Linked DNA regions of Tamandua tetradactyla. The protein of the gene in region 3 binds, or shares a complex with, the protein of the main gene of each other region. Links are inferred from orthologs where the notes say so. Each region holds a gene or a part of one and is shown on either strand. Other genes may lie near its edges.

Region 1 (7,853 bases), on a different chromosome or scaffold from region 3:
ACTATAAAAGGGGAACTAGCATTTGCCTGCAACTCATTATCAAAGTATTAAACCTTTGCGGTAACCCATTTCTCAAACTCCCACCCATCCTGCTCTCCAGTCTCGCACTCTTCCATTTTTTTGCTGCATCTTTCCCTGCCATTCCAGTACTCAATGCTTAATGTTGTTTTCCTGGCTTGGGTTTTGAAGATGACCTTGGTTTACCCTTGAGTCTCTCTCTGATTATGCTACCTCCGCCAGCCTTAGGCAAGCACCCTTTCCCAGAGATTGATGGACTCTGAACTTCCTGTTAATAATCACAAATTAGATACCATTTGCTGAGTGCTTCCTCTGGCTGGGAACTATCCTCAGTGCTTTCCATAAATCCATGTGAGTTAATCCTCACAACAATCCCAGGAGGTTGGAAGTATAATCTTTCATATTGACACAGGTGAGGAAACTGAGGCTCAGAGAGGTTAAGTCACTTGCTCAAGATGACACTGGTTCCACTGTGGTGAAGCTGGGATTCGGACTTTTCTGACCCCCAAACTTGCACTTTTACCGTAGTGCCAAGCCAGTTTGTGAGCAAGACCTGAACTGTCCTGCCTCGATATTCGAACTATGGGTTCAAAACAAGGTTGAAGAGTTGGTATCAGTCAGGGTTTGGTCAGGGGAGTAGAGTTGTCATGATTGTTACAGGAGAAGGGACGTAGTATAGGAATTAGACCTTTCCTTATCATGGGAGGAGCTGGGGAGATGAAGATCTGGGACAGGAAGTCTTTTTGACTCAGCAGGTCAGCAGGGCTAGGACAGGAGGTGGGTGCTGCACCAAGGAAAATGAGGACAAGCAGGAACCCTCTGAGCATCTCTGCAACCATTCACCATTGTATACAACAATGATGACCTTCAGAGAGTAGGGACTGCGGCTTCATATCTGCCTTTGAAATCTCATACATATTCCTCTTTTGACCAACTCTATCATGGACCCATAAGGAGAAGGGGATTCTGGGAATCTCCAGGGTAGCCAACTTGATATAGCCCACTGCAGTGCCGAGGTTTAATCAATAATTCAAGAGAAGACAAGGATTGGATGTGTAGTCAAGGGCCTAGATGTCTGTTTCCAAGTGAAAAGGTCTACAAAGTTCCTTGGGAGAAAGTTTATACTTCTGGTGTGGAGTTAAGAGCTAAGGGTCAAAGTGTTCTGTGAAAACTTGCCTGTGGTTTAGTAATTTTGGGGAAAAAATGTTGTAGTTGGATGGAATCTTCCTCAGAGCATGCTACCGATGGCTTTGGAAGCTTGAGGCAACAATTCCTTGCTTCCTTAGAGCTGTGAGTGAGTGCCGAAGCCTGGGCCTGACTCGGGAATTGGTTTTCCTTTCTTTGTTCTTTCTGTGTAGAGCAAGGCCAGATACAGCACTCTTTTGGCAGTTATTATACACCAATGCTCCCTATCATGAAACTACTAAAAATCCTTGCTTTAAAATCATAGGCTCCTGGGTTAGACTCCCTGCCCATGCGCTTCCCAAAATGAACAAACAAACAAACAAAAGCAAGCAAGCAAGCAAAGAATTCAACAAATGGTGCTGCAGTAATAGGATACTCACATGGAAAAAGAATGAAATGTGACCCCTGCCATACAGCATACAAAAAAAAAAAAAAAAAAAAGCACCAGTCTTTTGGAGCTGGAAGGAATTGTGTAGATAATTTAGCTTCATTTTGCAAATTGTGTTCCACCAAAACATATATTTCTAAATGTTCATAGATGGTCCTGGAAAAAGGACCAGTAGGTTTGATGAAGGCAGCATACAATATATACTTCTTGGGGAATCCAAATGTACTTTAATATATTAAAGTTTGAAATGCCTATTAGATTTCTAGGTAAAAACATCAACTAGGCAGTTGGTATATGAGTCTGGATTTCAAAGGCAAGATTATTGTTGATGTATAGATCTTGGAGTTAACATATCTAAAACCCTGGGAGCTGATGAGATTACTAAGGAGAGAGCTTAGAAGAAATGGGAGAGTAGGCAAGGTCTGGAAAGATAGTAGCTCTTTTGTGCCCATGAGGGGAGGTCCTGAGAATGGAGCCAAGATGCAGAAGATGGTGTTGCTGCGCCAAATGACAGAAAGAAACCAGGACACAGTTGGACATAGAAAGAAAGAAAGAAGGAAGGATGCAAGTGTCTTGTTCCTTTCACTACATTTTCCTCCTCCAAGCTCTCCACCCTTAAAAAAGAGATTATTAAAAAAAAAAAGCATTTAACATAAGCTTCCCACCCTTAAAAGAGTAACTACTATCAGCCTCCTGTGGATCTTTCTAGATGTGACCTATATATATGTCTGTACATACATACCCTTCCCATTTTGCTTGTAAACATAGGCAAGCATATTACACACACCGTTCAGTCCCCTGCATTTTTCACTTAGCAATGTTTCTTTTGTAGCAGACCCTATCTGGCTCATTCTTTTTGATGGATGTATGGTATTCCACTATGAAGCCCCTTCTGATGGGTATTTAGATTGCTCCAGGCTTTTGTGAGTGCATTGGTGCTGCAGTGACCATCCTTGCACTTGTGTCCTCAGGCAACCAGGCAAGAACATCCACCAGGCACAATGGCAGTGGTGCTTCTTTCCAAACAGCCATCACAGCTGTTGATCCCTGTTTCCACCACACTTTCAGGCATGGTTCACATTGGCTTTCACCTCTTTCTGCCACCCCTTAAATACCTACAACTTGGATTGCACCTTCTGGCACTGTGCTCTCAAAGGCCGCCAATGACTTCCTTCCTTTTCCCACTGCCTTTGACTTTTCTGTAGAGTTGGACCCCACTCCCAACCCATGCAGAAGCTCTCTCCTTGCCTGGTGGGTATGTGAGATTGTCACTGACCTCTTTCCACTGCTCTGCTCCTGCTAGCCCTGGATCCTTTGTCTGTCTTTCAAAAGGTTGATTTGGACAGCTTAAGTAGTAGAACCTGCCAGGCCAGCTCCAACTCCCCATTGCCCCACTCAGCCAGCCTCATTCATTTACCTCACTGCTTCACCTCCCAGGGGAATCTGAGTTCTTGATCAATACCTAAGTCCAAACTCTTTTCTCAAGTCCTATATTTTAGAAATTAATTGTTTCTGAATCCTGCATTTTATTATATGGTAACTATTTAAAGTTTTATTATGCAAAATTTTAAAAATACAAAAAGTTATAAAGAATGCAAAAAAATACAACAAAGGACAATACCACAAATACCCATGTATTCATCATTCAGCTTAAAAAATAAAATACTAACAAATTCGGTGAAGCCATTTTGGGCCTTACTCCAGAGATAATCATTATACTGAACTTGGAATTTGTCATTTCCCTACGTATTATGAAAAAAATTGGTAACACATATAATGTCAAATTTGCTATTTTAACCATTTTTAAGTATACAATTCAGTGGCATTAACTACTTGTACAATGTTGTGCTATTATCACCACCTTCCATTATTAAAACTTTTTCATCACCTGAAACAGAAACTCTGTACCCATTAAGTATTAACTCCCCATTCCCCTTTGCCCCCAGTTCCTGGCAACCTCTAATCTACTTTCTGTCCCTCTGAATTTCCTTAGATATTTCAAAGTGGAAATATCTAGACAAAATTATATTGCACGATACAATACAATATGTGCCCTCTTGTGTTTGCTTTATTTCACTTGGCATGATGTTTTCAGGTTTCATCCATGTAGTAACGTGCATCAAAACTCAGTTACTTTTTTTTGTATGCTGTATGGTGGGGGTCACATTTCATTCTTTTCCATGTGACTATCCTGTTATTGCAGAACCGTTTGTTGAATTTTTTCTTGCAGGGGCAAGTGCACACACTGGGAATCGAGCCCAGATATCCTGCATGGCAGGCGAAAATTCTACCACTGAACTACCCTTGCACTCCACTTGATTACTTTTTATGGCTGAATAGTCTTCCACTGAGCCGTGCATCTCCGATTACCTTCTGGACATGTCTACACGGATATCTCACTTTGTACGGTTAAACGCAAACTCAAGTTTACCTTTATGTAGAAAGGAAATATACATTATCTTAGCCTACATATGTAGAGAAAACCTTCCAGAAAGATATGTGTCAGAAGTTAGCAAAGCAAACAGACCAACCAACAAACAAAAGAGTCCCACATCATTAGCTCTGTTTCCAACCTCTGCGTTACATGAAAATGTTCACAGTAATTATTTCTGGGTGGCAGGACTACGGCTGGGCTGTCTGTCTGTTCCTCTATGTAGATGTACATACTGAGGTTTCCTCTGGAAACATGTCTCTTTGACTAAAGTTAGCCCATTGATTAAATGTCTGACTTTTCAACAATGGCATGCGGATTACTTAAACAACAACAGTAATTATAATAATACCCCAAAGCTATCTTCTTCCCAACCCTCTTGTCAATTCATTCTTACTCCAGATTTTCCCGTTTACACCAGCGGTACTGCAGTTTTCCCTAAAAGCTTTTGGTCATATGTGATATCCCTATTCCCCTCTCACATTCTGTTACTACCCTGCTCTGTGGTTCCTTGGGAGTATTTCCTATTTCCCCTGTTAGTTTTTAAATTCTTAAGGGGCATCATCCTTGCTTTATTATCTCCCCAAGAACCCTCACAAAGCATCTCATAAACTTCATAAATGGTTATTGAACCTTCTGCTCCATGCCCCAGGCTTGTCTGCATCTTGCAACTGTCACCTGGGTGAGAAATTTCTGCTATAAATAGGCAGTTTCTGTTTCAAGTATGGTTTGCCCTTGATATTTACATCCCATTTCCTACTCAACCCAAGCCTCAAACACAAAAATTTGAATTAGAGTTGGTACTCAAATTCTTTGTTGAGGTACAAGGAAACAGGACCCTTTAAGAACCAATTAAGCAATGTTGTGGAGTTTTTTTTTTTTTTTTTTTTTACCTTCAATATTCTAGTTGCTGTCACTACATTTGCTAGGGAATTCCTGACAAGGATTTACTTATCCTTCTGTGCTGTAATTTCTGCAGTTCCCTTGTTTCTTTTTGCGATCAAGTTCCAGATGGCTCAGCAGTGCTTCCAAAATGAGTATTTTGACAGTTTGCTTCGTGCTTGCAAACCGTGTCACCTCCGATGTTCTAATACCCCTCCTCTATCGTGCCAGCGTTATTGTAATGCAGGTAAGTAATAATTTCTTGAACAATTATTCATGGACATGAAGTACTCTTTCTATATCACCAATTATCCAAAAAGTAGATATTCCAGGGAAGATGGTGAGATTTTCTGAATCAGAGAAAGGGGGGAAAAAGGCAATGATTTAAATGCCTATAGGAGTAAAGTAATTATTTAGAACCTAACTTAATTTTATTCATCACTATTAGCAACACAGATTTTTGTCAACTCTTCTAATTAAGTATTATTTGTTTTGTAAAAGTCGATGCGGAGCTCAATAAGAAGGAATGGACTATTCACTATATGTGAATCAGCAGGAGTGAATTTCAAAATAGGTATGTCCAGTGAAAGAAGCTAGGTTAAAAAAAAAGCACATACTATACGACTACATATACATAAAATTCCTGAAAATGCAAACTAGTCTATTGTGACAGCCAGATCAATGGTTGCTTAGGGTAGGGTAGGGGAGCAAGCACCACGGGAGGGAGCGATGATAAAGGGGCATGAGATAACTTTGGGGAGTGATGGATATTTCATTATCGTGATTGTGGGGAAGGTTTTGCAGGTATGTATCCAATGTCAAAACGTATCAAATCGTGCACTTTAAATACATGCAGTTGATTGCATTTCAATTATATCTCAAAAAGGTATTTTTTAAGTACATAGGAAAAAAAGTCAGTGTTGGTAAATTATGAGAGTTGAACGACAATCTGTAATCAATGTGAATGTTATGTTATCAGTGCATTATCTGTCTGACATTCTTTTAATAAAGGTGTGACCAGTTCAGTGAAGGGAACAAATGCGATTCTCTGGACCTGCTTGGCAGTGGGCTTGATACTTTGTTTGGCATTTTTCGTGCTAATGTTCTTGCTAAAGAAGATGAGCGCTGAACAATTAAACAACAATTTTAAAAACACAGGTTGGTTTCATGGTAAATCTTTGAAATCTGTTTTGAAGAGGTGGTTATTTCAAGTTTCAGTTTCTTTTCTATTTTAACATTGAGTATTTCATTCAGTTAGAGTGCAACGGTGGCTCAGTGGCAGAATTCTCGCCTGCCATGCCAGAGACTGGGGCTCGATTCCCAGAGCCTGCCCTTGTCAAAAAAAAAAAAAAAAAAAAAAAAAAAAAAGGTGTTAGAGGACAGGCAGACTAAATAAACTCCTCAGTAGAAGCCAGCTGCCTTCATTCTGGTGTTGATACCTCGGTTGCAAGTCTCCTACAATGTCAGCCTTTCCTCAGAAATTACTAAAATATTGAGGCGTCCTCTGGAAACATCTGTCTCTTTGACTAAAGTTAGCCCATTGATTAAATGTCATAGTATCAAAAAGTGCTACCCAGATCTGGTAATACCAGGAAAAGTATATTTGGCAAGACTCATGGCTGTGTTTTCAATACAAATGTTAAGTGTTTTTTTCTTGGGAGAAAACAATTATATTGAAAAATGCTAAAATGAATATTATTCCTGGATTATTTGAGCAATCATCTAGGAAAATAATTGACTTTATTAAGCAGAGGAGACTTAATTCAAGAGAAGTGAATGTTCTACTAAAGGACTGAAGATAAAAATATATCTGCAGCACCTTTGCTTGTGATCTGATTCCCAAACACTTGCCAGCAATTGCCCTATTTTCTTACGAATTTAAATTCCACGCATAATCTGTAAAGCATGTATCTCATTTGCTTTCTGCGGCAAAAAGCAGTAAATGGCTGATCCACATTTGCCTCATTTATTCATTTTTCTTTTCTTTTCCTGGGGTCTGGTAGACAGGTAGGGAGTGACTTTAAGTGTAATTTTTTGGGAAGATGTTACACTGCAGAATGTCGGGAAGTAGTAAACCAGCTTCACAGGTGTCTAATGGGGACATAATGGAGACTCCTTCCTTGTGGGATCACAAGAAATTCACTTAAAAAATATAACCAGCTGAAAAATGCTCTGTTGAAGTGTCTTTACTTCTGAATTCTAAAGTGCTACCCACTGGCTGATTTTGGTGGGCTGCACATACGGTGATTACTGTCAATTTTTAAGAGCTCAAGATGGGGTCAAAACTTCAAAGGGCCATGTGGGTGGCAAATGAGAGTAGTGGACCAGGTAGAGGGCCTGGCACCAGGGGCTGAGCCTTGGCTAAAGGCCACAGCGGCTCTTGATTTCAACCAATTGTTTCCACCTAGAAAATCTGTCTCCATGTTGTCACATTTTTTTGTCTTTTTAAAGAGACTCCTGCAATCTGGATTTGTATGCAAAATCTCTTGTTTTTTAAATGTGAGCCAACATAAAACAACAACACACACTCAAAAATACTTATAGTCCAAACAAAGCAATGCCGTTTAAATATACGTGGCAAGTCATCTGTTAGGTTGTGACTTTCAATGTAGGATGTACTCGTTCTTGTATGAAAAGATCTGGTTTTGAGTCCTGATGTGCACTGCTAAGACTGTCATGACCACATCCCTTGGGAAATTAGTTTAATGTTTCTGTTTTTGTGTACTCAGGATCAGCTCTCCCAGAGGTAGTTAAGGCTGAGCCGGCCAACAGCAAGTCTGGTACTCAAGTTATTGTTCCGAGAGGCCTGGGGTACACCGTGGAAGAATGCACCTGTGAAGACTGTGCTAGGAGCAAACCAAAGATTGATTCTGACCATCTCTTTCCTCTCCCAGCCATGGAGGAAGGTGCCACTCTTCTTGTCACCACCAAAACGAATGACTGTGGTAA
Region 2 (7,867 bases), on a different chromosome or scaffold from region 3:
CTGGGTAGAGGCCTGTGAGCCTGTCCAGAACGGTGCAGCTTGACTGAGGGAAGTCGATGAAGGCCATCCTGATGTCCCTCAGGGTGCCTAGAGCAGGCACTTGGTTCTGGGGTGGGGAGGGAGATGGAGGAGCTGGGCTTGGCTGCTGATGGGTTGAGTGACCTCAGTAGATCACACCACTGGGTCCATCTGTGAGCCTCACCTCTCCACCTGCAGAATGGGTAAGGTTCATTCCCGTCTCCCAGCTGGTTGTGAGACTTGCAGATGAAGCCATTTCTGAAACAAAGCTTTAAGCCGATGAATGACCCCTCAGGCTGGAACTGGCGCCACCTCAGGTGTCCAGGGAAGACACATCTCCCAGTGGCTGTGAGCTGGGTGGGCTTCAGTTGCCTGGGAGCTGCGGCTCCATGCTGTCATGTGAGCATGACAGGAGGCAAGTGGTAATTTGCCCACCGTGAAGTGAGGTGTCTGTGGCTGTCAGAGGGGTGGGGACTTGCCCAGAATCACAGGTTCATTCAGCCCTTCAGGCCACCTAGTGGTGGGCAGCCCTTAGGCCTGCCCAGGAGCCCAGGCCCAAGTCTGGCCCCACACCTGCCAAGGAGGTAAGGCCTTGCTAGTGGGGAGGAGGCTCCTCGGTGGCCCAGGGCTGCAGCGAGGGCAGGGGCATTCTGGCCACAGAGGGGAAGTGACACAGTGGGAAAGGAGTCTGCCCTTGAGTCCCACCAGCATGGGGTCTGCGGCAGCTCACTTCCCCTCTCGGAGCCTTAGACCGTCTCTGCCTCTGGAGGCTTCCTGGGAGGCTCGTGAGAACCTGAAGGGCCTGCCCTGCACAGGCCTGTAGGTGGGCTGGGGCTGCTCGGACTATGAGGACTGAAGTGAGCTTTGGGGGCTTCTCAAGACAGAGCTCTGCCACAGCCTGCCCACCCTCACATGCATACGGCTTCCAACATGAGGGTCCCTGCCCCACCCCAAACTCCCCTGGGGCCCAAAGGGTGTGGGCAGAGAGGTATTGTCTTACAGGCACATGGAGTCCCGAGGGGCAGAGGAGGGGTACTAGGGTGGGCATTGCAGTGGGTGCCAGGCCCTGCCCATCCTGAGACCTGAGTCCACCTCCCACCAGGACTGAGAGGAAGAGCATGGTTGGTCCCCAGTGTCCCTGACCTGGGTGGGAGGGAGCTTTCCTCAGGGCCACCCTCTCAGGCCAAGGGCTAACGGTGGGTGCCTGGTCTGATGCATACCAGCCCAAAGGGGGTCCCCAGAACTCACTCTGCTTCTAACGTGCTCGGCCTCAGGCCAGTATCACTGAACCCATCCAGACAGGAAGAAGGTCCCCATGGGTGCATGGGGCGGGGTAGGGGGCTTTGAAGCCTGTGCAGGTCCCTTATTCTCTGAGCCTGCTTGCCTCCTAGGAGATAGGAAGAGCAGTGCCACCTTCCCTGTCTGCACGGCTCTGGGACTTGGGGTCATGTGAGATCAGAAAGGGGATGCCGTCCCCTCAGCCTTTCAGCAGCAGGAAGTGGGCCCCCTGGGAACCAGTCCTAGCAGGTGTGTCGAGGGGTGAGGCCACGGTGGGGAGGGGGTAGGCCTGGGAGGTGTGTGGGCTGCTGTCCCCCACCCCCACCCGGAGTGCTGCAGCTTCCCAGGGGGTGCCCCTCCCTCAGGGCTCCCCACAGGAGCTTTCCCTCTGTCTGTCTGCCCCATGTCGCCTTCTCCACAGGCCTTCCCTGACACCCTGGCCCTCCCTATACCCTTCCCTCCTGAATTTTTCCCTTTGGCACTTCACATCTCCTCACACACTATATTGGTTTATTTATTCGTTTTTTTTTTTTTCACTCCTGTCGTTTGCTGCTGTATCCTTAGGACCTGGAGTACTGCTTGGTACCTAGCAGGGGCTACATGGGGATTTGGTGGTGAATGGGGGGTGTCTGCAGGAAGCCCAGAACCTCTGACTCCTTGGTCCCTCCTTTGTGGAGCCCAGAGGGAAAGGTAGCTCTCAGGAGGCTGAGGGGATGGCATCCCCTTTCTGACCTCACACGACCCTGGTCCCAGGGCTGCGCAAAGAGAATCCCATGGAGTGCAAGTGTGTGCCGAGGGAGACCTGGGGCAGACGGGTCAGTGGCTTGGGGCCTGGCAGGGGTTCATGACTTCGCGTGAAGTGGCATTACCCCCCTTGCTAGTTCGGGTTCAGAAGAGGAAAGGGTACAGTGGGGGCCTCACTGGCAGCTGCTATGCTGCTGGCCCTCTGCTCAGACCCCACCAGGGCCTTGTACTGCTTCCCGGGCTACCCACCCCCCCCACTCCCAGTACATCCTTCCTGCTGTCCCAGGTGGTGGGGATGGTCCCATAGAGCCCTTGTTTGTCAGAACTAAAGCCCATGAGCAGTGTCCGAGCTGCTGCTGCAAAATGAAATGGGGCTGTGAGGCCAGATGTGGGACTCTCCTCGGGGACCTAGAGGTGGGGGCCGGGGAAAGCCAGTAAAGAAAATTCACACGCACAACCCCTTTCGTGAAACACACAAAACCCATCCATGAGGACCCAAGGGCACAAAGCAGGCCCGGGATGAAAGGCCCCGAAGCGAAAGCAGAGGCCTCCCGGGAGGGCAGGGAAAGGCCCCTGTCACTCAGGAGTCAGGTTTTGTTTGAGGGTTTTTTTCGTGAGAACATGTTCAGATACCACTCACATGGTTGTGAATAAAACTCATTTTTAAGCACAGAGCATCCCGGGTCCCAGAGCCCTTTCACATCTAGATCTGGCGACCCTACCCCAGGGACAGCCCCGAGGCCAAATGGTGCCACACCTCCCACCTGCCTCCCCAGCCCCAAGCATGGGGCACAGGCCACATGTCAGCCAAGGGGCCCCAGACTCAGCCAGGCCCCCTGCCCATGTGTGCTGGGGTGTGCTGGAGAAATGGGCTCAAATAGCACCTGTGTGAGAACCATTGTGGGGGGTGGGGGGCACAGGGGGTGTTCGTGGGGACAAAGGTCAAGGGACACTGACAGGGCCAAAATTAGTCATCGTTTTAAAAAATGAGTGAGAAGCTGAGAGACAGGTTCAATTCGAAGGGTTTTTTTAGCAACAAAGTCCCATAGTTTGTACTCCTTGGATTGGGGAATCAGCAGCCGTTTGCCAACCGGCCAGTCTGAGGGCGGAATGTATGCCTGATGCCTGAACTGTGCGGGCAGGAGCTGAGGCTGGCAGCCCCCTCTCCGTCACGCACCCTGCTTAGGAGGTGAAACTGGGTGTCTGTTCGGGTCCAGCCTGCAGCACCCCTGAGCGTCTCCATCGCCTGGGCCTGTGCAGCACGTCTCAGGCGCATGACAACCATTGGTGTCCAACGGGTCATCACACCTCCGTCCTCCACGCGGCCCACGCCCTTTCTCCGGCCACAAGCATAGTGAATGGTGAGTTCCGGCCGTGCCTCCTCTCGTTTGAGGCCGTGCAGGCCAGCTCCCCTGTTCTCTGTGGCAAGGCTCAGAGCACCATGGGGAGACTCTCCCCTGTCCCTATAACAGACTCCATGCTCCTGGGCTCCCACTGTGCAGCCTGCCTCTGCCTGAGGGTCTGGCCTGGGGGTCAAGCGAGATGTTGAGTGGGGAAAAAATGCAGCCCCCAGGACAAAGCAAAGACTGACAAAGCGATAAAGTGGCACCCGAAGTGGTGGTGGTGTGTGGCCCAGTCTTCTTGCCCCCCACCCTCCCTGCTTCCCGGCCCCGGCTGCTCTCCCCACCCCCTCACCACCCACCCACACCCACACCCACCACCCCAGACCCACTTCTCCTTTGCAGCTGCCCCACCGCCTACACCTTCCTGCCCTGGAGTTGCTGGCGCGTGGACAGGGGATGGAGAGGCAGTGGGCCAGGACCCTCCACGGCTGGCAGATGGGAGGCTCTGAGTGGGATTCTGGTGGCCCCCCAAACCATGAACCTGGGGACCAGCCTTGCTCTTCTCACTCCATGGCCAGTCACGTCGGTCCTTCCTGCTAAACAACCACTGGGTCATACCCCTGCCCTGGACCACCGTGTCCGCCTCCTCACTGCTCTGCTTGCCCCATCCGCCCTCCTGCTCCCTGGCAGCCAGAGACGGCCCCTTCTAGAGCACGACTTGGATGAGTCCCTCTGCCACTCTAGCACCCCAGGCTCCTCACTCTGGGTCTGACTCCACCCAGCTCAGCACCCTCCCTCCTGAAGCAGTGACCATGCGGTTCCCAGACTGTCCTTCCCCTGTCACTTCTCCATGCTGTTGCCCATGCCGATCTTTCTGCCTGGAATATTTCCCTCTGGCCTTGCAGCTGCCAAGGGCATGCTTACTCCTTCTGCCTCCCAAGCCTCCTCCATGTCCCGGATGGTCACGCCCTCCTCTGAGCTCTGCCAGCTCTGGGTCCACTAGGAGTTCCCTGAAGCTGTCTGCCTTCCTCTGTGTCTGCTGCCCTCCAGGGATGGGGCAGGGGCTGGAAGAAACTCTTGGGTTTTTGTGTGCATGCGTGCGTGCGTGCGTGCGTGCGTGTGTGTGTGTGTGTGCAGGCCAGGGCACATGCAGCCCTGGGAAAAGGGGTCAGGGTGGGCAGGTCACCTGATGGGCCTTGGTCTGTCTGTTCATCTGTTGGTCTGAGTCTCCCTCCTGCTTAGGATCTGGGGACTAGGCTGTCCCTGGATAACTGGCTGCCCTCTCCACCTCCATATGTCCCCTCTGCTTCAGAAAACAGCTCCTTGCTAACATGCAAATCGGTGACACTCTCTGCTTAAAGCCCTGCATTGTTCCCCAGTGCCTTAGGGCCATAGGCCAAGCCCCTTAACCCTCCATTTAGGCCCCAGACCAGGCCTCTGGTCCCTGGTTTTCCTACTCTTGCCTCCAGGACTTTGCTCACAGTGGATGAGAATGCGCCCCTAGACCTCAGTCCATCTGGCAAATGCCTCCTCCTCACTTCCTCCTTGAAGACTTCCTGCCCCCACCCCACCCCACCCCACCCCCCCACCCCACCCCCCCCCCCGCCCCGTGGTGATGACCTGCACTGAGGCCATTGTCTGGAACCTACCAACCCAATCACCACCACCCTGTCCCTCTGGGCAGGCCTGTCCGTCTCTGCTCCATGTCGCCACCACTGGGCTTGGAGCTTGGTACAGTGTGGGCACTGAGGAAGGGCTCTCCAGAGGAGGGGTCATTGGACAGGCTGGATGGGGGGAGAGGGCCGGCCTTGGGGAGGCCAGGGAGAGGAGGCCACCCAGACATCAGGGTTCTTCCTGCAGACGTTGCTTTCACTACCCATGAGCAGGTCCTTGGCTGAGCCCAGCCCTGTCCCAGGGCCCAGGCGAGGGCCCCCAGCAGGTAATGGTTGAGTGGCTGACTGGAGGAAGGACCGGCAGAAAGAGGCAGCCTGGGGTGCTGGGCCTCGGGGCCGGGCAAGAGCCGTCTCACCCCAGCAGGCGGAGGCGGGGCCGGGGCGGGCTGGGCAGGCGGCCCCTCCCAGTTTCCTCCCCGAGGGGCTGCGGAGTCCAGACCCAGTCTCAGCTGCGGGCCGGCCGCAACATGGGCCAGGGGCGAGAAGCATGGGGGTCAGGGACAGGCCCGCGCCTCTCCAGTGCGGTCCCGCCGGCCGAGTGCTTCGACCCACTGCTCCGCACCTGCGTGTCCTGCAGGCTCTTCCGGACGCCCGATCCCAGGCCGGGTAAGTGGCGCCCCGTGGGTGGATGGGAGGCCCGTGGGCAGGGAGCTGCCCGGGGACCAGCCATCAGCGCGTGGCCCTCACCGGCCCTCTCTCCCCCCTCCCCCGTGCCCACCCCCGCCCCGGCTGACCCTCCCCCGCCGGCCCAGCCTCGCCTCCCGCCCGCCGGCCCCCTCCCCGGCCGTTCCTCGCAGGCGCCCCCTGTCCCCCCTCCCCGCCCCCTCCCCCAGCGGGGATGAGCAGCCTGGCGCCCAGGACGGCGCTGCAGCCGCAGGAGTCGGTGGGCGCGGGGGCCCGGCCCGAGGGCGCGAAGCCGCTCCCGGGGCTCCTCTTCGGCGCCCCGGCGCTGCTGGGCCTGGCGCTGGCGCTGCTCCTGGTGGGCCTGGTGAGCTGGAGGCTGCGGCGGCGGCTGCGCGGGGCCGCGTCCCCCGAGGCCGTGGACCTAGACCCAGAGGGTGAGTGGGCATCAGAGGGAAAGAAGAGGCACTGCCCAGTCCCAGAGAGGCCGCAGGGCCTGGCGTGGGGACAGTGTGGGGGAGAAGACATGGCCTGGGGGATCGCAGCAGTGTGAAGGGGGAGACACGGCCCTGGGGTCGGGGTAGGGGCAGGGGCCTGAAGAGGGAGGCAGGGCTGTGAGCGGGGAAAGACCTCAGGCTGAGAGGGGAGGCAGAGTCCACGTGAGGGCCACAGCTCTGCTCTCCCCAGCCCCAGTCCCAGGAAGGACACACAAATGGGGAGCCAGCCTGAGGGAGGAGTCCATCCCCCCTTCTGGGAGACCCAGGGGTCCTGGACCCAACATAAATCTTGGGGATGGCCGGACCCATCTCATGTCTCCCTCCATCAGCATTCCCCATCTTCTCAGCCTCCTGGGCTCACCCCACACTCAGCACTTCCTGTCCTAAGGGCCTATCACATGCCACCCTCCCCACCCCCTACCCCCACTGGGGCTTCAGTGACTTATCTCTCTGGTCTGAGGGCTGCCCCCAAAGGAAGCTTCCAGAACAAGGAGAGGGGGAGGCTGTGACACCATCTTGACTTCCATCCCCCACCCTCTCCTGCCCAGAGCCTCTGGACGATGTCAGCACCCTCTCCTCTGGACCCCCGGCAGCCACAGCTCCTGTCTGGCCTCCTCCCAAAGATCCAGCCGCCATGCCACCTGGCCACAGCATCCCTGTGCCAGCCATGGAGCTGGGATCCACGGAGCTGGTGACCACCAAGTCAGCTGGCCCTGAGCAGCCGTAGTGATGGAGGGGGCAGGAGGTGGCTTATGCCCTCCCTGGGGACCTCCACCCCGGGGCTTGGAAGTTGAATTGGGCTCTTCACCTCAGCACCCACCTGCCCCTTTCCTGGGAGCCGGGCTTCTCCCCAGCAGATCCTGCAGACCCAGGGACTGCAGCCCACAGTGCTCAGCCCACAGGGCATTGTTCGGCATGTTGCTTTTGACTCAAAGCCATACCATCTTCAATGGCCTTCAAAGGTTCTATCTGGGCTCTTGTGCTTTTGAATGATTGGAGCACCATGAGTGAGAGGTGTTTCCTTCAGAGTGGAAAAGCCGCCGTTAAGCCAGAATGCATCTGGATAAAGGATAAAGCCGGAGGCTGCTGTATTTGTAACCCAGTGTTGTGTTTCTTTAGTACTTGCTCTTAGAGCTGTCCTGCCTCTCAACTGATGCAAATGGTGGCAGTGAGTAACCAGTGAATGAACTTGCTTTGAGATTTAGGCCAAGATCATTTTTGTAAGGAGGAGATGTGGTGATTTTATAAGGAGGAGACTGTGCTGATTCTCAGGTATCTGTGTCTCTGGGCCCAGGTCCACCCTAAACTTTGCCCGACCTGCTGGGACCTAAAATGCCATTTTCATCCTGGAGGCAGCTTCCAGAACCACAGGCCTGTACCTCAGTGGAGGTCTACAGCCTCAAGGCTGGGCTTGCAAAGTCAAGCGGAAGGACACTGGCAGACATCTCCCTCAGACACCACTCTGGGGTTCCAGCTGCCTCCAGGGTGCATCACACCGAGCTGAACACAGGAGGGTCCTTTGCACAGACATGTGCAAAGGACAGGCCTATGGCCTTCAACCTGCAGGACCCAGTGTCCCCAAGCACCCTTCTCTCTGTGGCCCATCCTCCCCAAGCACTGGACCCTGAGTGCTGGGGTTGCCCGGCTGTTTCATGCCAGCACCTAGGGTCACCCACCATTCTAGAGGAAGCTG
Region 3 (7,591 bases):
ACTGACAATTAATGAAATTATCTGTGGTTTCATCCTAAATGAGAAAATTCTCTTCAGATTTTTCTGATGTGCTGAATTCTGCCAGGCCAGCAGGGTATCTACACAGTCTAGTTCCCAGGGGTCACAGTCCATGGCAGGCCGGTGGCACCTAACAGTGGCAGTTCAGTGCACACTCAGCATTGAGGTCTACTGTGCATGTAGGTCACTGCAGAAGCCTTTTGCAGAGAGGTATTTGCTACGACATTAAGTACCAAAAGAATACAGCTAAATTTCCATTAGTAGACAAATACCACACCATTTCTCCTTGCAATTGCAGGGAGCTTTTTAGAGTCAAATTCACAGTTAGCCTAGGCATAATAAATATCCACAGAGTCATACATACTGTGCTTTGGGGCATGAGGGGTCCTGGGTTGGTTACATGTACAACTGTTGACATTTTGTGTATAAACTGTGCTCTAATACTTATATTTTGGGCAAGCCCTGAACCCCAGGGACATAGGACTCCCAACCAACATGACTGCACTGACCAGGTCCATGGCCAATCAACTTATTTTCCCCAATTTCTAATGCTTGTGGCACAGGCAAGAGCAAGTTATGTTCATTGCCTCATTGTGGCTGTAGTACTTCTGGTTCTTCTATCTAAATTTGCAGCACCTGCATGGGCTCCTCCATTACCAATACAATAGGAGTGGGAGCAGCTGCTCAGGGCCATATTTGAGGCTGGTGAAGACCGGATACAACCTGCATGTCCTCTGCTGCAGAGATTGCCTATCATCTTTTAATTGCTCTTTAAAAAACCCATCATCCTTTCAATTAACCCTGCTACTGTGGGATTGTAAAGCGAATGAAATGTCCATAAGATGTCATGCTCAGTACTCAGGCTTGGGTTAGTTGACCAGGAACGGGAGTCCCCCATCACTGTCCACATGTGTGAGGGACCCCAAATAATGCACTGAGCTTTTCTAAATTTTCTAAAGCTATATATTGTCACTCTTTGCTTAGATTTCCCTACTGGTGAGGCCAACAGTCCAGGGGCTGTATCTATGTCTATGAAGACATATTTTGAACCTTCAGTTAAAGAAAGGGGCCCAATCTGATTTACCTGCCACCTGGTAACTGGAACCCTCCTGTGGCTAATGTGGTGGAGATGATGAAGAAGCAACTTTGGGCATCACAGCGAAGAGGAGGGGCAGGCATCTACCACTTCTTTCTGTTGTTGTCTAAAGATGGGCAGCTGGAATTGCTGTGCCAGTCTCCACAGAGTCTAGTACCTTTGGTGTCCACTCTTTCTATGCAACCATTCAACAGCCTTGTGCGATGTTGGCTTTAGGCTACAAATTTTTGCTAAACTGTCTGCTTCAATATTGCCAGGTAAAGAATCAGTGTTATCGGCAGAGACATAAAACACAGTACTTTTCCCTTATGGCAAGTACTCCAAATATCTTCCCACATTTCTTTTCCCTATAAGGGATGGCAGACGACAGGCCAGTGCTCTTGCTACCATGTGGCTGTCCTCACTGTCAGGCCCTGATACACTGCCCAATTGTCAGCACAGATAGTTCATGCATCTCCTGGCTTGTGAACAATGACTATTCATACAGCCCTTAATTCAGCCACTGGCTGTTTTTCATAGTCCCAGCTTCCCTCCATATGGTATCCATACTAGGTTGCACAGCTACTCCCTCCAGGCAGCAGACCGCCTTTGTGCTGATCCATTAGATTTAGGAATACTGCCATATCCATCAATGGTGGTCATAGAGACAGCCACTTCAGGAGGATCAGCAGGGAGAGGCAAGTGTTGTTCTTCCACATAAGAAACGAACTAGTCTCAGGATATGCATTTCTGCACTTAAGATGCTTTTGTTGAGAATGCTGTGCTGTAGCAGATAGGCTTTTCATTTCATTAGCGTGCTCAACTGTACACTGCTAGAGTGAAACTTAGTGAGAGTGTTCCGTATCCACCCCTATATGAGGATGGCTCTTCTTTATTTCACAGGACATTTCTGAGTTGATCCTTCAATTTACAGAAGGCATTATAGGCAGCACACAGTTGTTTTCTTAAGGGACAGGACCACAGTTCAGTTCTTTAACTCACTTTGCCTGTTACCTTTGCTATAAGTCCCACCCAAAGCTAATATTAGTAGTAGCCATTTCTGATTCACAAGGCATATCTGTGTCCACTCCACACAAAGTCTGAGCCAGTCTGACGGCTCATCTGACTTTTTCAAAAGTGCTGGGAGGTGTCTCATTCCCAAGGATAGCTTTTCCTAATCAAAACAAATACGGGTTTTAACTTTTGTGCTGAGTGAGGAAGAAAGGTTTCCAATATTCCAATAATCCCAAGGAAGCCACTAGTTGTTTTGGCATATGCAGCATATGAAAACATTGTACCTCATCAATTACTACTAAAGGAATAAATTTTGCCTTTTCCAGTTGTACAATACTCAAGATTTTACAGGCAGCCAAGGCATTGCAGAATACCATGATCAATTGTCCATCTCTAACTGTTAAGATGAAATAACAATAAGGCTTTTATTTTAATTCTGGAAAAGAATTACTGGTTAACATGACATCATCACATTATCAATATAATGAAATAGAGTTACATTTTTCCATTTAGCCAAATCCTTTTGCTAAGAGCTCATGGCAGATGGCCAGGCTATGTGAATAGCCATGTGGGACTACAATGACATTCCTTTGTTCTCCTTCCCAGGTGAAGATGAAAATGGATTGACTGACCTTACTTAAGGGAATACTAAAGAATTAAGTCCTAATTCCTTGTAAGTATGAGGCAAACTTTGGAAACACAGCATACAAAGGTGGAGTCACTCCACCCTTTGCCTCCCAAATTTCTTCTTTTTCCTCCTTTTCATTATCAGATAAACAATCTATGGTATCCCAGTCAGGGGAAGTCAGGATATGCCCCCTTACTCTAGCATGCCAAGATGCTAATATTTCTAACTCTTATCTACAAGACATTCAATGAATTGCATTCAATGCATCATCTCAATCTGCTGATTTCTCCAGTCCATTGCCATGGCCCCCACAGACCTGTGGATTTCTCTGACTTCCCCAAGACAGCCTGCCGTAGCTGGCCACACTGCATATGATGATCAACTGACTGCAACACAGTCAAGCAAGTGAATGACTAAAGAAGCAGTCCACTTTGGGATTAACCCCACAGATCCCCCCTTCCCCAGACTCATACTTTCTATGGCTGGCAGCTCTTTAGTCTCCTGGTTGACTCAACAAATGTTTCAGCTCTGAGTTTAATTAGGAACTTACAGACAGGAGGAAGATCTTCCCCAATGGCAAATGGTGGGGAATTGAGAGTCTGCACTCTGCCCAAAGTCAAGAGAGAAAAAGAGAGAGAGGGGTGCCCAGGAATGGCTTATGAAGTTTAACAGTCTTGCAAGATTTGGTTACAATGGAGTTTCAGCAGATGCTCCTGAGATTATATTAGGGGAGGGGTCAGACATCCTTTGACCTTTAAGGTCTGTTTAGGTCATATGGGTGGCTATGTGACTTGCTGTCAAAATAGAGGTGGAGGCAGAACCTGGGCCCTGGGTCTTTACAGCCTAGCTCAGGGCTTGGCAAGCACTCAGTAATATTTGTTGATTGGTAAATCAATATTTTGTTGCTGGGCTGGTTGCAAAGCAGCCAGAGCCCAGGATGTGGCTAAGAGTCAGTGGTCAAAGACAGGTAGGATTAAAATGGGTGGAATAGTCTGGGCAGCAACAATAAAGAGCTCTTGAAACAGAACTAGCTCTTATTTGAGTCAGGACAGGTTCCATAATCTTCAGTTTTGGCAGTCAAACTAATATGTGTGGCTAGTAGGTAAACTACCTGAGGGTAAGAACACTTGATGTGTTCCATGAGGCGTGGAAATAAGGCCAGCTTCTCCTCAACATGGTAGCAGGATGAGTTGGAATTTGAGGCTTCAGAAGCCAAATCAGGAAAGACAGGAAACAGACTCATCAGGAGGGGTTGATTACCTATCCAATGAGTCTGAACAGGAAAAAAGGTTGTGTACATTTCCTTTAGAAATGCATTCGCCCCCAATAGCCTTCCTCATACCTAATCTAAACTTGTCTCTAAAATTTAGTCACTTTCTTTTTAATACGTTGTTAAAATAATAACACCCAGCTGACTTCCATTCCTCCTTTGAGGATTCCTTTTTAAAATTTCATACTTGATAACTGTTAATAAATCACAGCTGCAACTGAGGACAAGTCAATGCTAAGGCACTTAGCTTATCTGACCTTCACATTAATTATTTTTATTACACCAGCAGGAACATTTTATGTTCTCGTTCCACTTCCCTACAAAGTCATTTGGCCTCAACTAGACACTGTTCTCTAATAATGCCTAAGGGTGAGCTCTTAACCATCTACATTATCTTAAAGCTATCTCTTGCACATGCTAATCAAAATTCAAAGTTTAGTCAGTGGATTTAAGGGGCGAATTTGTATATGATTGTTTTGAGATGCCATTAAAATTCTTACAAAAACTGAAAGTGAAATGAGGAAGACTGATTGAGCAATCCAATAGAAGGGCGAATGCCAGTAAAACCTATTGTACAGAGGGGCAGGGATGCAGAAGGGAAGAAATAAGAAAATTCAGGAGATCTCTCCTGACAGAGAGAGCCAAGCTCTGTGATGTGTTAAATGTAGGACATCAACAAACACAGATAACAGGAAATGATCCATTCCTTGTGGTCACTTATTTTAAAGGCCCTAACCTTCAAAGTTCAAGTAGTGAAATGGTTGACTCCACAGAAAAGGAGCAGTTACGACTTTCTTCTTGCCTTAAGAAAAGAGAAGAAATGAAACTTAAGGAGTTGGTGTCTATTCGCCCCCAGAAGAAAAGCTCCTCTGCCTGGTTCTCCAAAGATGGAAAGCTCCTGTCAGTGACCTTGCTTCTGACGCTGCTGTCCCTCTCCCTCACAGTGGTGTCTTTCTACAGAGTGGCCACCCTGCAAGCAGAGCTGGAGAGCCTCCGGGCGGAACTGCGATATTACCAAGCTGAGCAGCTGCCAGTCTCTCCTAAGGCAGAAGCTGGAGCCCCCACGGCAGCTTTACCGGAAACTCCAGCTTTCACCACGGGACTTGAAGTGAGTTATGGGCAGCTGCAGTTCCAGATACAATCCTTCCTAACCTGCTGCTTCTCCCCCATGCCAGCTGTCTTTTCAATAACTTGGGATTTTTCTGCCAACAGGGGATCCTTGCACCACCAGTTCCTGGAGAAAGTAACTCCAGTCAGAGTAGCAGGAGTAAACGTGGTATTCAGAGTCCAGAAGACACAGGTAAGTTTGGGGGACAAGAGCATTCAGAATTTAGCATTCAGTATCAAAGGATTACAGTGTTCACAGGTTTAGAAAATAGCAGCAACTTTAGGGGAATAGAGGTGAAATAATCTCTTGAAACCTCTTAAATAGAGACTATGAAATTTACCATCAAAATCAGACTTGGCTTTTTAGCAAAACCCTAGCAGTGGCAGTGATAAATTCAATGGGCTCCACAGCATGTTTTGGCCTCCAATGAGTTCACTTCATCTCACTACAGAATTAGACTTTGTCTACATGGGTCATAGAAAGTCATTAAAGACAAGTGTTTCCCAAGGGTGAATTTTGTGAAACCAAATGAAGATCCTAGAGTGGGAGGCTATGCTTTGCACACATATGCAGGCTTGTGAATGCGCATGCACACCCATTGATTTTCAAGTTTTTTTTTTTAGTTATGGCTTTCCAGGAATTCCATACGTTTATAATCTTCTAATAGTTTTTTCATGATTTCTGTTTTTCGTCATGTTCCACTTATTCCACAGAATTTCATAAATTCATAAAATTTTAGAGATGATAGGGATTATCAAAATAATCAATTCTAGTTCCTTCATTTCACAGATGAAGAACAGTATTTGTTTTGTATTTATTAATATTATAATCTAGGATGTTGTCCACAAATCCTTGATACTATCTTCCTTTTATATTGAAAGAGCATTTTTGAGCACCATAATATTTCATATTTTCTCTTCTGAGAAAAGATGTGAGACCTATTCAGTGGTAGGGTAGGTGCTTTTCTATAATCCACACGCACATGTGTATACACACACACAAAGTGCTTGGCCTACAAATCCATTTATTTTTCAACTATATACCTTATTTATGAAAAACCTTCTCCCCTATTTTATAAAACCATAACTTTGTTATCTGATTTTCATATCTTTATGCCAATTATCAGAAACACTTAGACTTAATAATTTTTAAACCAGGAAACAGGCATAATATTACTGCTTTAATATATCAGTTATTTTCATCTGTTTTCTACAATAATTAAAAATAGTGCTGCATATCTATTATTTTATATTTTTGTTTTTTCTTATTATACAATCTGTATTTACCCTATTTCTAAGTAATTCTCATACATGTACATTAATCTGCTATTCTACTATTTTCAACACAATTATTTCCATTTTTTGCTACAATACAGTACAATCTTGCTAAAATTTTACAGTGATCTTTTTTGTTTCTGAGTCATTAACTGCTTTATACAAATTCTGTATAGTGGAATTTCTGAATTAAATAAAATGGAAATCCTTATGACCCTTGTTATATACTGCTATGTTGCTTTCAGAATGAGTATAAATATATTTAACAAGCAAGGTGGTGTGTCTGTTTCTCTATAGTCTTACAAGCATTTTAGCTTTTAAAATCTATTTTGGCTAGATTAGTAACAGTGAAATAGTATCTCAATTTTATTTTAATTTGCTGTTTGTTTGCAAATAAAAATGAACTTCTTTCTCCATATTTTACTTCTAATTTTATCATGTTAATTTTTATCTATAACTTCTACCATTTGTCGTCCTAATTATTTATAATTTGGAATAAACTATATATTAGATGTATTAATTTTATCAAAGTTTTCATAATATTTTGCTGCTTTAAAAATTATACAGAGATTTTATATGTCTATACTTTAATGTAATAATATTTTCCTTTTATTTTTCTAATACATCAAAGCTGAAAGAATATTCTTTCAGGATCTCTTAAGTAGTCTATTCTACTTTCTGCTACTTTGAATTTCTTATAATTTAGTATTTTAGTTTAGATTTTAACTCATTAACCCTTCTGGTGCCTATTGTGATGTATCTTGACATGCTTGTTTTAAGTTCTTCATTTCTTCTTTTTTTTTCCTTCCTAAACTGTTGCTAAATAGCTCAACCAAATTTATTAAATAATTTTTAACTCCTTTTGTGTTAGGAAAGCTTACTGTGTTTTTTTAAGTTCCTCAAAATAGTCAAATCTATTTACAGACTCTCTGTTTTTGTTTCATTGATTTACTCTTCTATTTATTTGCATTAAATGAACTATTTGAAGTAATTTGTGTTATAATGGGCTCCAGTATCTCGTAGTCAGGATTCCTAGGTCTTCTTCAACCTTATCTGATACTATCCTCCTACCTCTAAATATTACATTCTAAAGATGATATAAGGCTTATCATGGCAGATTTAATAAGAAAAAAATAGTAGAGTAAGAAAACAAAACTCCCAGAGTCCCTTTTCCTCCAAATCCTCTACTAATATTTTTGTTTCA

Evidence for each region.
Region 1: the proteins of TNFSF13B (region 3) and TNFRSF17 are in contact, whole or in part, in a crystal structure (PDB 1OQD), measured with the Homo sapiens proteins. The link is inferred for Tamandua tetradactyla from reciprocal best matches to the Homo sapiens genes TNFSF13B and TNFRSF17. Residues at the interface, in NP_006564.1 of Homo sapiens: Ser162, Tyr163, Lys204, Thr205, Tyr206, Ala207, Met208, Gly209, His210, Arg231, Cys232, Ile233, Glu238, Pro264, Arg265, Glu266, Asn267; in NP_001183.2 of Homo sapiens: Tyr13, Asp15, Ser16, Leu17, Leu18, His19, Ile22, Arg27, Ser29, Ser30, Asn31, Thr32, Pro33, Pro34, Leu35.
Region 2: the proteins of TNFSF13B (region 3) and TNFRSF13C are in contact, whole or in part, in a crystal structure (PDB 1OQE), measured with the Homo sapiens proteins. The link is inferred for Tamandua tetradactyla from reciprocal best matches to the Homo sapiens genes TNFSF13B and TNFRSF13C. Residues at the interface, in NP_006564.1 of Homo sapiens: Ser162, Tyr163, Asp203, Thr205, Tyr206, Ala207, Met208, Gly209, His210, Leu211, Thr228, Arg231, Cys232, Ile233, Pro264, Arg265, Glu266, Asn267, Ala268; in NP_443177.1 of Homo sapiens: Asp26, Leu27, Leu28, Val29, Arg30, Val33, Leu37, Leu38, Arg39, Pro41, Arg42.

Annotation. Positions count from the first base shown.
Region 1 is NC_135349.1:45,170,686-45,178,538, reverse strand, and holds the start of TNFRSF17 (tumor necrosis factor receptor superfamily member 17), read left to right. Parts: upstream 1-4,833; 5' UTR 4,834-5,033; coding exon 5,034-5,151; intron 5,152-5,915; coding exon 5,916-6,062; intron 6,063-7,633; coding exon 7,634-7,853. UniProt on the Homo sapiens protein: Receptor for TNFSF13B/BLyS/BAFF and TNFSF13/APRIL. Promotes B-cell survival and plays a role in the regulation of humoral immunity. Activates NF-kappa-B and JNK.
Region 2 is NC_135333.1:35,189,900-35,197,766, reverse strand, and holds TNFRSF13C (tumor necrosis factor receptor superfamily member 13C), read left to right. Parts: upstream 1-4,997; 5' UTR 4,998-5,325; coding exon 5,326-5,662; intron 5,663-5,808; exon of another isoform or gene 5,809-5,871; intron 5,872-5,889; coding exon 5,890-6,112; intron 6,113-6,714; coding exon 6,715-6,901; 3' UTR 6,902-7,272; downstream 7,273-7,867. UniProt on the Homo sapiens protein: B-cell receptor specific for TNFSF13B/TALL1/BAFF/BLyS. Promotes the survival of mature B-cells and the B-cell response.
Region 3 is NC_135330.1:177,864,627-177,872,217, forward strand, and holds the start of TNFSF13B (tumor necrosis factor ligand superfamily member 13B), read left to right. Parts: upstream 1-4,563; 5' UTR 4,564-4,762; coding exon 4,763-5,113; intron 5,114-5,217; coding exon 5,218-5,305; intron 5,306-7,591. UniProt on the Homo sapiens protein: Cytokine that binds to TNFRSF13B/TACI and TNFRSF17/BCMA. TNFSF13/APRIL binds to the same 2 receptors. Together, they form a 2 ligands -2 receptors pathway involved in the stimulation of B- and T-cell function and the regulation of humoral immunity.